3 linked regions of the Canis lupus familiaris genome follow. The protein of the gene in region 2 interacts with the protein of the main gene of each other region in a biochemical or structural test. Links are inferred from orthologs where the notes say so. Each region holds a gene or a part of one and is shown on either strand. Other genes may lie near its edges. The genes, in order: USPL1, RANGAP1 and RANBP2.

Region 1 (3,140 bases), on a different chromosome or scaffold from region 2:
GAACTAAATTAACAATTGAAGCAAATATTGGTACTTGAGGTTACAGGCTTCATTTATCTTGAAAATTCGTGTAAAAGGAAAAACTTAATCAGTTTTCTGATATTGTTGGGTAAATTGGGTGATAATACTGTGATTTTTTTTTTTAAAGACCTTATTTATTCATGAGAGAGACAGAGAGAAAGGCAGAGACACAGGCAGAGGGAGAAGCAGGCTCCATGCAGGGAGCCAGATGTGGGACTCGATCCCTCCCTGAGCCAAAGGCAGACACTCAACTGTTGAGCCACCCAGGTGTCCCAGTCTGTAACTTTTATTAGCCAAATAAGACTTTAGCCTTTGGCAGAGAAAAATGGTGACGTAAGGATAAGACCATGTTCTCTAATGTTCTCCTTTGCTGGATATTCAGGGATATAGCTGAAAAGTGAACCTAAGCCAGAAGAAAGTGAACCTAAGCTGGTGAGTTTTGAATGTCTAACCTTATTACTTCCTCATCCCCTAGGAAGTTGGCTTGAATGTGATGACCTAAAAGGCCTACGTTCTGAAAGACGTGAGAAATTTGAAGTTCTTGGTTCAGAGATACATATTGTTATTTGGGAAAGAAAAACATCCCAAATGACAGATAAAGCATCTGCCTGCCTTCCACTTAAAAAGAGTAATGATGAGCCTGCTTTCAGTGATGAGAAACCAGCCTCTCCAACATCGTGTTCTGTGGGTGATACTGCCACTGCTGGGCCGTCCTCAAGAACTCTCCCCACTGATGTGGCAATTGCTCCTAGCAGTCTCTCGCAGGGTGAAGCTGTAGCTTGTGGACATCATTTATTTTCAGGTCCAGAAGATTTGGTTGACAGTGATATTTTGTCTTTGACACTTGAAGAAATACAGATTAACTCTGAACATTTCCTAAATGAACATGTTGCAGAAAATGCAGGAGTCTGCAAAACAAATACTTCGCAATCACAAGAGTCACGAGTGGCTTCTTTATTATCAGCTCCATGTGTTGAAAAGCTTACTCAAGACCAAGTCATGGATTTAAGCTTTCCATCTCAAATTGTAGATGCAAACATGCAGTTGGCACAGATGAATACAAAAGACGTAATTACTAAACCTGTGAATAGTACTCATGCTACTGATCCTCCTATACATGGAATAAAGCCAATAGAAGTTGAGGGTACGGTTGCCCTAGAGGACACTCCATTAAAACAATTTCTTTCACCCAAAACTGAGAAATTAAAACCAGAACAACCTGTTACAACTCAGGTATCTAATTTGATGAAAAATGAAACTGCAACATTTTCTCAAAGCATGATAATGAAGCCAGTACAGAATCCAACTCTGAAAGAAACTCAGAAGAAACCATTTGTAGGAAGTTGGGTTAAAGGCTTATTAAGCAAGGGTGCTTCTTTTATGCCACCTTGTGTTTCAGCTCATAATAGAAACACTGTAACTGATTTGCAGCCTTCAGTTAAGGGGGCAAGTAATTTTGGTGGTTTTAAAACAAAAGGCGTAAACCAAAAGGCTAACCGGGCTTCTAGGAAAGTTAATAGGTGTGCAAGTAAACCTCCTACAGTTAGTAATTCTCTATCAAGCCGTCCATCATCTGGTAGCATGACTTCTCATGTATGTGCTGCTAATGTTATTGCTGATTCAGATGTTTTGAAGAAATGTGAAAATGCCTCATATGGAGCTCACCGCAGTCACGATTCTTATATAAAAGAAAATGGTATTTCTTCAGCAAACCATGAAGACTCTGTTGAGGGTCAGATTCATAAACTTCGTCTAAAACTTCTTAAAAAACTTAAGGCAAAAAAGAAGAAATTAGCTGCTCTTATGTCTTCCCCCAAAAAAGGAACACTTCCAAGTGAAAAATTAGAACATGTGTCCCATTGTGGGTCTCGAAACAATTGTGAATCAATAGAAGACTTGTTAAAAGAACTACAGTATCAAATTGATACTGCTGACAATAAATCCGGGTGCACCAGATTTCCATACAGTAGTCAAAGTCATGAAGAAATTTTAGCAGAATTATTGTCTCCTGCAACTGTTGTCTCAACAGAGCACTCAGAAAATGGGGAGGCAGACTTTAGATACTTAGAAATGGGAGATGACAACGTCCCAGCACCAGTGTCTACTGAATTAAACAATATTCCCCAAAACACACATCTGAAACAGGACCATAATTACTGTAGCCCCACCAAGAAAAATCAGTGTGAAGTTCAGCCAGACTCACTGACAACTAATGTCTGCATTAGGGCATTGAACTTGGAAAGTTCCATGAAGACTGATATTTTTGATGAGTTTTTTTCCACTTCAGCATTAAATTCTTTAGCAAATGACACAGACTTACCTCATTTTGATGAATATCTGTTTGAGAGTTGTTGAGTGCATGTTACCTCTTTTTAGTTTAATATTTATTACTGCTCTTGGGAAAACTTACTATGTTATTAAGTAGTGTTTACACACTGGCCTTGTCATGAACAAAATATAAGCTACTGAAGATTTTACCTTTGGTTCTACTCACAAAGCATGTCATCTATTTTATAAATTAAAATGATCGAGAATTTGTTTTCCTTGTTTGCCTCATTTTTGTCTTGTGGTAGAATGAGGATTTCAGAATGTTACAAATGAAAAGTAGTATCTAGTTTCTGACAATCTGGTACATAAAATTTCTACATTTTAATTTTGGTTACACTGGGGATCCCTGGGTGGCGCAGCGGTTTGGCGCCTACCTTTGGCCCAGGGCGCGATCCTGGAGACCCGGGATCGAATCCCACATCAGGCTCCCGGTGCATGGAGCCTGCTTCTCCCTCTGCCTGTGTCTCTGCCTCTCTCTCTCTCTCTCTCTGTGACTATCATAAATAAATAAAAATTTAAAAAAAAAAATTTTGGTTACACTGGTTCAGGAAAAACACTAGTTTGTACAAACTTAAGTCCTTGTATATGGCATACAGAATGTGTGACTGGTAATGATTCTGTGATCATATAAGACCCTAAACCTGTTTTCTTATACCAGTTGAGTACTTTGGAATGTAAACTTACCCCCCATACAACTTTCCTTCTCTACCTATAAAAGATGGCAGGAAACCTTGTTACTAGAATTTTTAAGTAATGTTACATGGTCAGTAAATGATCTCTAACAGGAAAAT
Region 2 (4,138 bases):
CTCACAAAGTAACATCCGTGTTTACTATGCAGCCATGGAAAGCAGAAAGGCCTTTCCTTGGTCCTTAAATGACTTACTGGGGAGAGAAGAGCCTTGTTCCAAGCATCATGGCTTCCTCATACAGGCCTTGCCCTCTCCTGACTATGCCAGCTCACTGCCAGCCAAGGTGGAGGCCCTTTCTGGGCCCAGGGTCCAGCTGCCAGACTCCTCCACACTACATTCAAGGCTGTCTGCACTGGGCTCCCTATGGCACCCTGATTCCTTCTCGCCCAAGCCCACCCTATGTGTCTCAGCTCCTCCCCTCACATGATACTCCCTGCGTCTACTGCCCTCTCCCCTACAATGACAGTTCAACCACCTTATCCATGGGGACTTCCGGGGCCCTCCTAAACCAGAAATGATCCCTTTCCCTTGCCGTATTTCCCACAGCTTTCTGTTCACGTTGCTCAGAGTATGCTTCACCTTCTACCCCCTGGCAGTTGAGTACCTCCTTCCTACTCCATCTTAGGAGGTCCTCAGAGGCCGGGGCTATAAGCTGGGCATCCCTGGTGACCAAGAAAATGGAGGCAACATGTCCAGCCTGAGCTGGTTAATTAGTGATCTGCACAGATTTTAAAGCTAGACAAGCTTGAGCTCTAATCCTAGCTCCATTACCTGTATCTGTGCCCTTAGGCAAGTCCTATTATTTCCCAGGGCTTCACTTTTCCAATCTACAAAATGGGGATGAGACCTACCTCAAGGACTTTTGTGAGGATAAACTTCCTTAAGTCAGGCACTTAAAGAATGCCTGACTCAGCATTCAGGGAATGGAATTTAATAGCAAATTCAGGGGATCCCTGGGTGGCTGAGCGGTTTAGCACCTGCCTTTGGCCCAGGGCATGATCCTGGAATCCCAGGATCGAGTCCCATCAAGCATCGAGCTCCTTGCATGGAGCCTGCTTCTCCCTCTACCTGTGTCTCTGCCTCTCCCTCTCCCTCTCTGTCTCTCGTGAATAAATAAAATCTTAAAAAAAGGGGGATCCCTGGGTGGCTCAGCGGTTTAACGCCTGCCTTTGGCCCGGGGCGCGATCCTGGGGCCCTGGGATCAAGTCCCACATCGGCTCCCGGCATAGAGCCTGCTTCTCCCTCCTCCTGTGTCTCTGCCTCTCTCCCTCTCTCTCTCTCTCTCTCTCTCATGAATACATAATATTTTTTTTTTTTTTTAAATCTTAAAAAAAAAAAAGCAAATTCATCTTTACTGAACTGAGCTGTCTACTGACAAACACAAGAATAGGGACTTAGCTGGACCTCTGTTAAAATCCCAGCTCTGCTACTTACCAGCTAGATGACCTTGGACAAGTTAGGTCTTCCAAATCTCTTCTCCTTATTTATAAAATGGTAACATTTCTACATCCCCCCCTCAGGGATGACGTGTGATCGGAAGTGATAACAGCACAGGGAGGGACTCTGTAAATGTTAAGGCCCTTCAGAGACATCAGGAATGTGCACTGCCATGCTCCTGACAACCTGAGAACTCCAGTTTCTGAGGCAGGGCAGGTGAGCAAGCTTGCCTGCAATCCATGACAACCGGGCAAGTCCATACCAGTTTCCCTGGTTGGGCCAGAACCTCAAGAGTCCTTGCAAGTGCTGGCGTAGGTGCCTTCACTTCCAAACGTCAGGGGATTCAGGGTTGACCAGTGTTAGCCATGCTTTGGCCAGGGATGAACAGACAAGGCCTGCATTCTGCTTCCTAATTCCCTACAGTCCTGGTTCCTAGGACAAGAACATCCCTCCCTCTTCCAGGGGCATTCAGTTGCACGGACCAGACCTCCCAAGAGGGCCTTACCTCTGGGAAAGCCAACCAGTATTCCCAAAACCAGTCTGGGATCATAGTGGTAAAGGTGGGAAGTAAGAAGTCAGGGACTATACCCTGACACTGCTGTTGTGATCCTTTGTTGTTTACTATCTCCTCCCACTAAGACATAAAGTGGCCCTTTCCACCAGCCAACCTAAGCTGTCACCAGCAAGGATGGCCTCCAAAAACATGATGACTAGCAGGGAAGCCTATATATGTCCTTGTGGGCACATCTTTGAGCCTCACTCTAAAAGGGACCCAAAACTATCTCACAGAGCTACTAGGTAACAAACAACGTGATAATGTAGCTAAACAAGCTGGAACAAGAGTCATTGGCACACACTCTTTCCTCCCCTGGGCCAGCCCAAGCAGGAACTCACCATCTTCCGCAGTGTTGAGTTTGAGGCTCTTGCCCTTGAAACTCAGCTGACCCCCAGCCACCTGGGTTTTGGCAAGTGTCTCTGCTAGCTTGGCAATGTCTTCAGAGGCCATGCTGGCCACGTTGCTGGGCTCCCCCGGAAATCTGCAAACTGAGCAGGATGAAGTTTCATTAAGAGACAGGAGTCTCCTGGGGCCCCCTGGTTGGGGAGGGCCGGGTAGGACATCAGCCCTTTCAGGGGCTTAACACCCCCTCCTCCATGGAGACTCCAACAGCTAAACTACTGGGAGAAATGAAAACACTATTAGGTAAGGAACAATTCTAGAAAGGTGGAGAAAGTGGCAAGAGTAGTAAAATCATGTTTTAGCCCCTGAAGGATTACTAGCTTATTTTAACTCCTCGCCTGCCCCAATGGCCCCAGCTGGAACACCAAGCACAGCCATCTGAGCTGCCCATCTTCTGGGCTCCCAGTGAATGGTAGTTGGGCCCAGACCAACAGCTGCAATGCAAAGAGCCTACTCCAGGCACACACCTGCCTGATCATCCTGGCTGCTCTCTGTTTGAGGGTCCCATTCCTCAAACAGGACTAGGATGGCTAAGGGATCCAGGTTATCCATCCCGCGAAATGCCCCACCTCCCACGCTGGCATGTCTCTGGGGATGGGGCACAGGTGTCAGCCCACTGCCCGTCTGGTTTCAACCTTAGCCAGAAGACTGGGCAATCCATGGTGGCCAAACCTCAGGGGTTCCTAGGAGACCAGAGGTCTCTACATCACAACAGCCACCATCACAATAGACCAAGGGCAGAGCTGCTGAAGAAAGGAGCTTCTGGCCTGGAAGAACTCGGCAGATTGGCAGAAAGACCACTCCATTTCCCTAAAGAGGAAATGGCAGGTCATCAGGGGAGACCAAGGATGATGGATATGGAAGACAGAACGAGGAAGGGCCCACAAAAACTCCTTACCCAGAACATGTCCTTCCCCAATCTATTCGTCCTCAAGATACAACTGTGATGGCTCCCCAATCCTCCAACTCCCCCCAGGCTTCCTCTGGGCTCCTATAGCCAGCCTCCCACCTCCTTCTCCTTATCTTAACCCTGATCACCCTGGCTTGCCAATTTTTACAAATATGTATGAATTATTCTCCTAGATAAGAAGGCACCACTCATTCATTCAATAAACATTTATTGGGTATTACTATGTTCTGGACGTTGCTCTAGATACCAGAACCAAGCAGTGAATGAAGCAAAAATACTGCCCTCTCTCTTTTTTATAAGATTTTATTTTTATTTATTTTTTAAGATTTTATTTTTTTAAGTAATCTCTATGCCCAACATGGGTCACAAACCCACAACTCTGAGATCGAGTCACATGTTCTACCAAATGAGCTAGCTGGGCACCTCTTAAAACATGTGTTCTAAATAAGACATGTGGAATCTTATTTGTGTAAGTGATAAGAAAAACAAACGGAGAAGGGGGTAAGGAGTTTTAAGGGGGTTGCGATTTATTTATTTATAAAGATTTTATTTATTCATGAGAGACATAGAAAGAGAGGCAGAGACGTAGGCAGAGGGAGAAGCAGGCTCCCTGTGGGAAGCCTGATGTGGGACTCGATCCCAGGACGTTGGGATCCTGGCATCACGCCCTGAGCCAAAGGCAGACGCTCAACCACTGAGCCACTCAGGTGCCCCGAGGGGGTTGCGATTTAAAACAGATTGGTCCAAAAATAAATAAATAAATAAAAATAAAAATAAAAATAAAACAGATTGGTTAGAGGGGCACCTGATGGCTCAGTTGGTTAAGTGTTCAACTATTGATCTCAGCTCTGGACTTGATATCAGGGTCATAAGTTCAAGCCCCATGCTGGGCTCCAGGATGGGCATAGTACCTAGGTTAAAAACAAACAAACAGGGCAGCCAGGGTGGCT
Region 3 (3,652 bases), about 11 Mb from region 2:
GCTAAGAAAGTAATCAAATGACGAAACTGACAAACCAAGGTATAGGCCAAGGGAACTGAGTCTCAAATGCTACTTCGTATCCACTCTGCCCATCACAAAATAAACTCATGAAAAATGAACTACTTAATATCAATCTTGGTATTGTGGTAATAACACTCTTAGGGATATCTACTCAGTCAATTTCTCCCATCCCCACAAAAATCCAACATACACATAAGGATGAACCTTTACAGTCCTCTATGTAGAACAAAATTCCTCCTCCTTTGGCCAAAGCTGATTAGTAAATAGACACCTATTTTCTAACCATGACACATTATTACCATTTGGTAAGAACATTCTAGTCTACTGCCATCAACAAAAGCAACTGAGCCAGAAGGAAAATAATGGAGATGCTCTTACCTGAGAGTCCTGAACTTTTTGAAATTCTGACTGAAAGTCTTCCCCATTTCCATTGTCCTCATCAGTATCACTGCAGACTCCACAAAAAAATGTAGGTGGAAGCTTTAACGTATCTGCTTTTGCCTTCTCTTCAACTGTTGGTTTCTTTTCCCAAACAATAACACATTCTTTTTCATTATCTGAAAATCCCACAGAATAAAAGCAAAAGAAAGTTATAGAAGTCCAACTACTCTCCAAAAGAGATCCTCAATACAATTTACAGATTACAGACCCAGATAGCAATACCTATGAATGCTAACGGAGAACAAGGATACCCATGAAAACAATGTTTTACACTTCATGTTATTTTCAAATATTTTAAATCACCCGTAGGAATAGTACATGAGTAAAACTGGTAATTATAAAAATGATCAGATTAGAAGATTCCTTTTAAACAGAAGATTTTTTTAAAAACACATTTTAACTAGAGTGGGATGCCTGAGTGGCTCAGTTGGTTAAGCATCCGATTCTTGATTTCGGCTCAGGGTTCTGAGATCAACACCTGCATCAGGCTCCGCACTGGGCATGGAGGCTGCTTAAGATTCTCTGTCTCCCTCTCCCTCTACTTCTCCACCCTCTTCTTTCTCTCTCTCCCTCTCATAAATAAATGTATAAAAATTATAAGTAATTTTAACTTAGCATAACTAGCAATTTTAATTTAACATACCTGTTAGCGTGCTCGCTTCGGCAGCACATATACTAAAAAACATACCTGTTAGCTTTTCTTCTAATGGTCTACATTTTTCTGAGTCATCCAGATAGAGTTTTCCATTAAGTTTCTTGACAGCTGTTTCGAAATCTTCATCTTAAATTATAATTGATTTTATTAAATAAAAAAAGTTTCTAGTAAGTTCCAGGAATTTTTCTAGCCACAAATCTAGAAATTATCCTCCAACTTCATACCTTCCCTTACTCCCCACACTGAAAAAACACCCAATTGTACCAATTCTATCTTCCTAATACCTCTCCTAACATTACAGAAATTTCATTCAGGCTCTCTTGTTTGAGCTACTCTATTATTTCAGTTCATCTTCCTGTCTCCATGTCCCACAACCCAATCCTTTACACTACTAAATTCAACTGGTCCTACTGAAACTTTCTGAACATGGTACGACCCTGGCTAAAAAATTCTGATATGGCTCACAAAGTTTTCCATAATCAAACACCCATCTGCCTCATTACTCTCTGATCCCTCTAAGTCTACAGGGAAATTAGGACTGTTTTCAATTCTCTCAAAAATGCCTGCTCAACTCATAGTAGGCATCCATAAAATCCTCACTTGGTAAGTGCAGTTGTTTCAATCATTACATCCATTGACTATTTATATACATATAGACAACTACCTACAAAGACAGCAGTGATGGGTTCTAAGAGGCAATCTTAAAAATGATTTAAATATACCCCCCAATTACTAAGACTAGCATGAAAAGAATGTTATGTGTTTAAAATAACAAAAGGCTTACCATCCTCTTCTTCACTAACATAATCTGGCTTATTCTTATAGCAGAAGAAAGTTGGAGGAAGTTTAAGTTTGCTTGCAAGAGCTTTTTGCTCAGGGGTGGGCGTTAACTCATATACAATGAAAACATCATCATCTGAGGAAGGATCTTCAGGTTTTTCCTTCTCTTTTGCTATAAAACAAGTCCAAAAAAATTATAAAGACAAGATATTACATAGGTATTAACATCAATATCCTAACTGAAAATAAAAACCATGGGACTTATCTTTAGGTTATAATATAGCATGGTGATGAAAACACCAATTGTGATGTAGACAGAGCTCTGTAAAGAATTATAAGCCTGACTTAACATTCTGTCAAAAACCCTTAATGAACAAGGAATCTATTTAAAACCAAAAAAATATTTCATTTACTCACTGATCAAGAAAAACTACTATTAATGGTTATAATTGTAAAAGGTATTTATAGAGTGTTGCCATAACCATATTTGGCATGCTAAACAATAGTTTAGCAAAATATCCATGCATTTGCAACAATGGAAAAAACTTACAGAAATCATGAGCATAGATTAGTATCAATACGAAACTAATGCAAAGCTAACCTTGATTAGTTCCTACAAGGAAAGTTAACAATTGTCAAGGATGGCGAGTGATCAGTTATACCAGTTTTGCATATTTCCAAGCAGATAACATATAAAACCAAATCAAAACCCACTGTTATCCTAGGGGTAAGTAATACTGTAGGAATCTAAGATCATTTTAATAGCTGAAAAACAACAAAAGCAAAACACAAAGAAAAAAAAGGGATTCTTCATATGATATGCTGTTGTCTATAAAGAAGAGTATCTGGCAAAGGGAACAGATAACAAATCATGTGCCAACTGGTGCTGTCCAAGATGGTACCTTAGTCACATGTGGCTATTAAAGCACTTAAAATGTGGCTAGTCCAAACTGAGTCCTACTCCAAGTATAAAAATACACTCTTGGGGCACCTGGGTGGCTCAGTCAGTTAACCGTCCAATTCTTGATTTTGGCTCAGGTCTTGATCTCCAGGTTGTAAGATTGAACCCTGCATGGGGCTCCACATTCAGTGTGCAGTCTGCTTGAGATTCTCTCTCTCCTCTCTATTTGCCCCTCCCATTTGTGAGCACACTTTTGCTAGCTCTCCCTCTTAAAAAAAAAAAAAAAATACACACTGGATTTTGAAGACTTTGTACAAAAACAAAAAACAAACAAAAAAAATATGAAATCTCTAATTTTTGTATTGATTAGAACTTGAAATGGTATTTCAGATATAACTGGATAGATTATTAAAATTAATTTCATCTGCTTCCTTTTTTCACTTTTTTTAAATTCTGTTTTTTAATGTGGCTATTAGAAAATTCTAAATTACATACACAGGTCATATTTGATCTGATCTAGAGAACTGGAGCCCTTTTACAAAGTTAAACTTTCCTTTTACTCTCCTTAAATAGAAAAACATGGTATCAATTACAATACTGTAAGATACAGATTCTTATTCCAAATCTGCTGTTAGCTAGTAAAGACAACTTGGGCACTTCAGATAGCCCAATCAGGCCTGTTTCCTCATGTCTATATCCTCCATCCCTAAGGTCCTTCGGGGCCCTGACATTCTTGGACTTGAAACAGAATAAGGCTCTTCATCCTACTGTACTATACTGGTAAATTTGCTCTTAGGCCAGGGATACATTTTTTTTTTAGGATTGTATTTATTTGACAGAGAAAGAGAGAGAGA

What was found.
Region 1: of the proteins of RANGAP1 (region 2) and USPL1, one has a biochemical effect on the other in vitro, tested with the Homo sapiens proteins (2 studies listed by BioGRID). The link is inferred for Canis lupus familiaris from reciprocal best matches to the Homo sapiens genes RANGAP1 and USPL1.
Region 3: the proteins of RANGAP1 (region 2) and RANBP2 form a complex in vitro, tested with the Homo sapiens proteins (5 studies listed by BioGRID and IntAct, with this or other methods). The link is inferred for Canis lupus familiaris from reciprocal best matches to the Homo sapiens genes RANGAP1 and RANBP2.

The regions. Positions count from the first base shown.
Region 1 is NC_049246.1:9,453,133-9,456,272, reverse strand, and holds the end of USPL1 (SUMO-specific isopeptidase USPL1), read left to right. Parts: intron 1-496; coding exon 497-2,376; 3' UTR 2,377-2,564; downstream 2,565-3,140. UniProt on the Homo sapiens protein: SUMO-specific isopeptidase involved in protein desumoylation. Specifically binds SUMO proteins with a higher affinity for SUMO2 and SUMO3 which it cleaves more efficiently. Also able to process full-length SUMO proteins to their mature forms.
Region 2 is NC_049231.1:24,911,761-24,915,898, reverse strand, and holds the start of RANGAP1 (ran GTPase-activating protein 1), read right to left. Parts: upstream 2,941-4,138; 5' UTR 2,831-2,940; coding exon 2,746-2,830; intron 2,365-2,745; coding exon 2,215-2,364; intron 1-2,214. UniProt on the Homo sapiens protein: GTPase activator for RAN. Converts cytoplasmic GTP-bound RAN to GDP-bound RAN, which is essential for RAN-mediated nuclear import and export. Mediates dissociation of cargo from nuclear export complexes containing XPO1, RAN and RANBP2 after nuclear export.
Region 3 is NC_049231.1:36,158,126-36,161,777, forward strand, and holds part of RANBP2 (E3 SUMO-protein ligase RanBP2), read right to left. Parts: intron 2,070-3,652; coding exon 1,902-2,069; intron 1,244-1,901; coding exon 1,151-1,243; intron 579-1,150; coding exon 400-578; intron 1-399. UniProt on the Homo sapiens protein: E3 SUMO-protein ligase which facilitates SUMO1 and SUMO2 conjugation by UBE2I. Involved in transport factor (Ran-GTP, karyopherin)-mediated protein import via the F-G repeat-containing domain which acts as a docking site for substrates.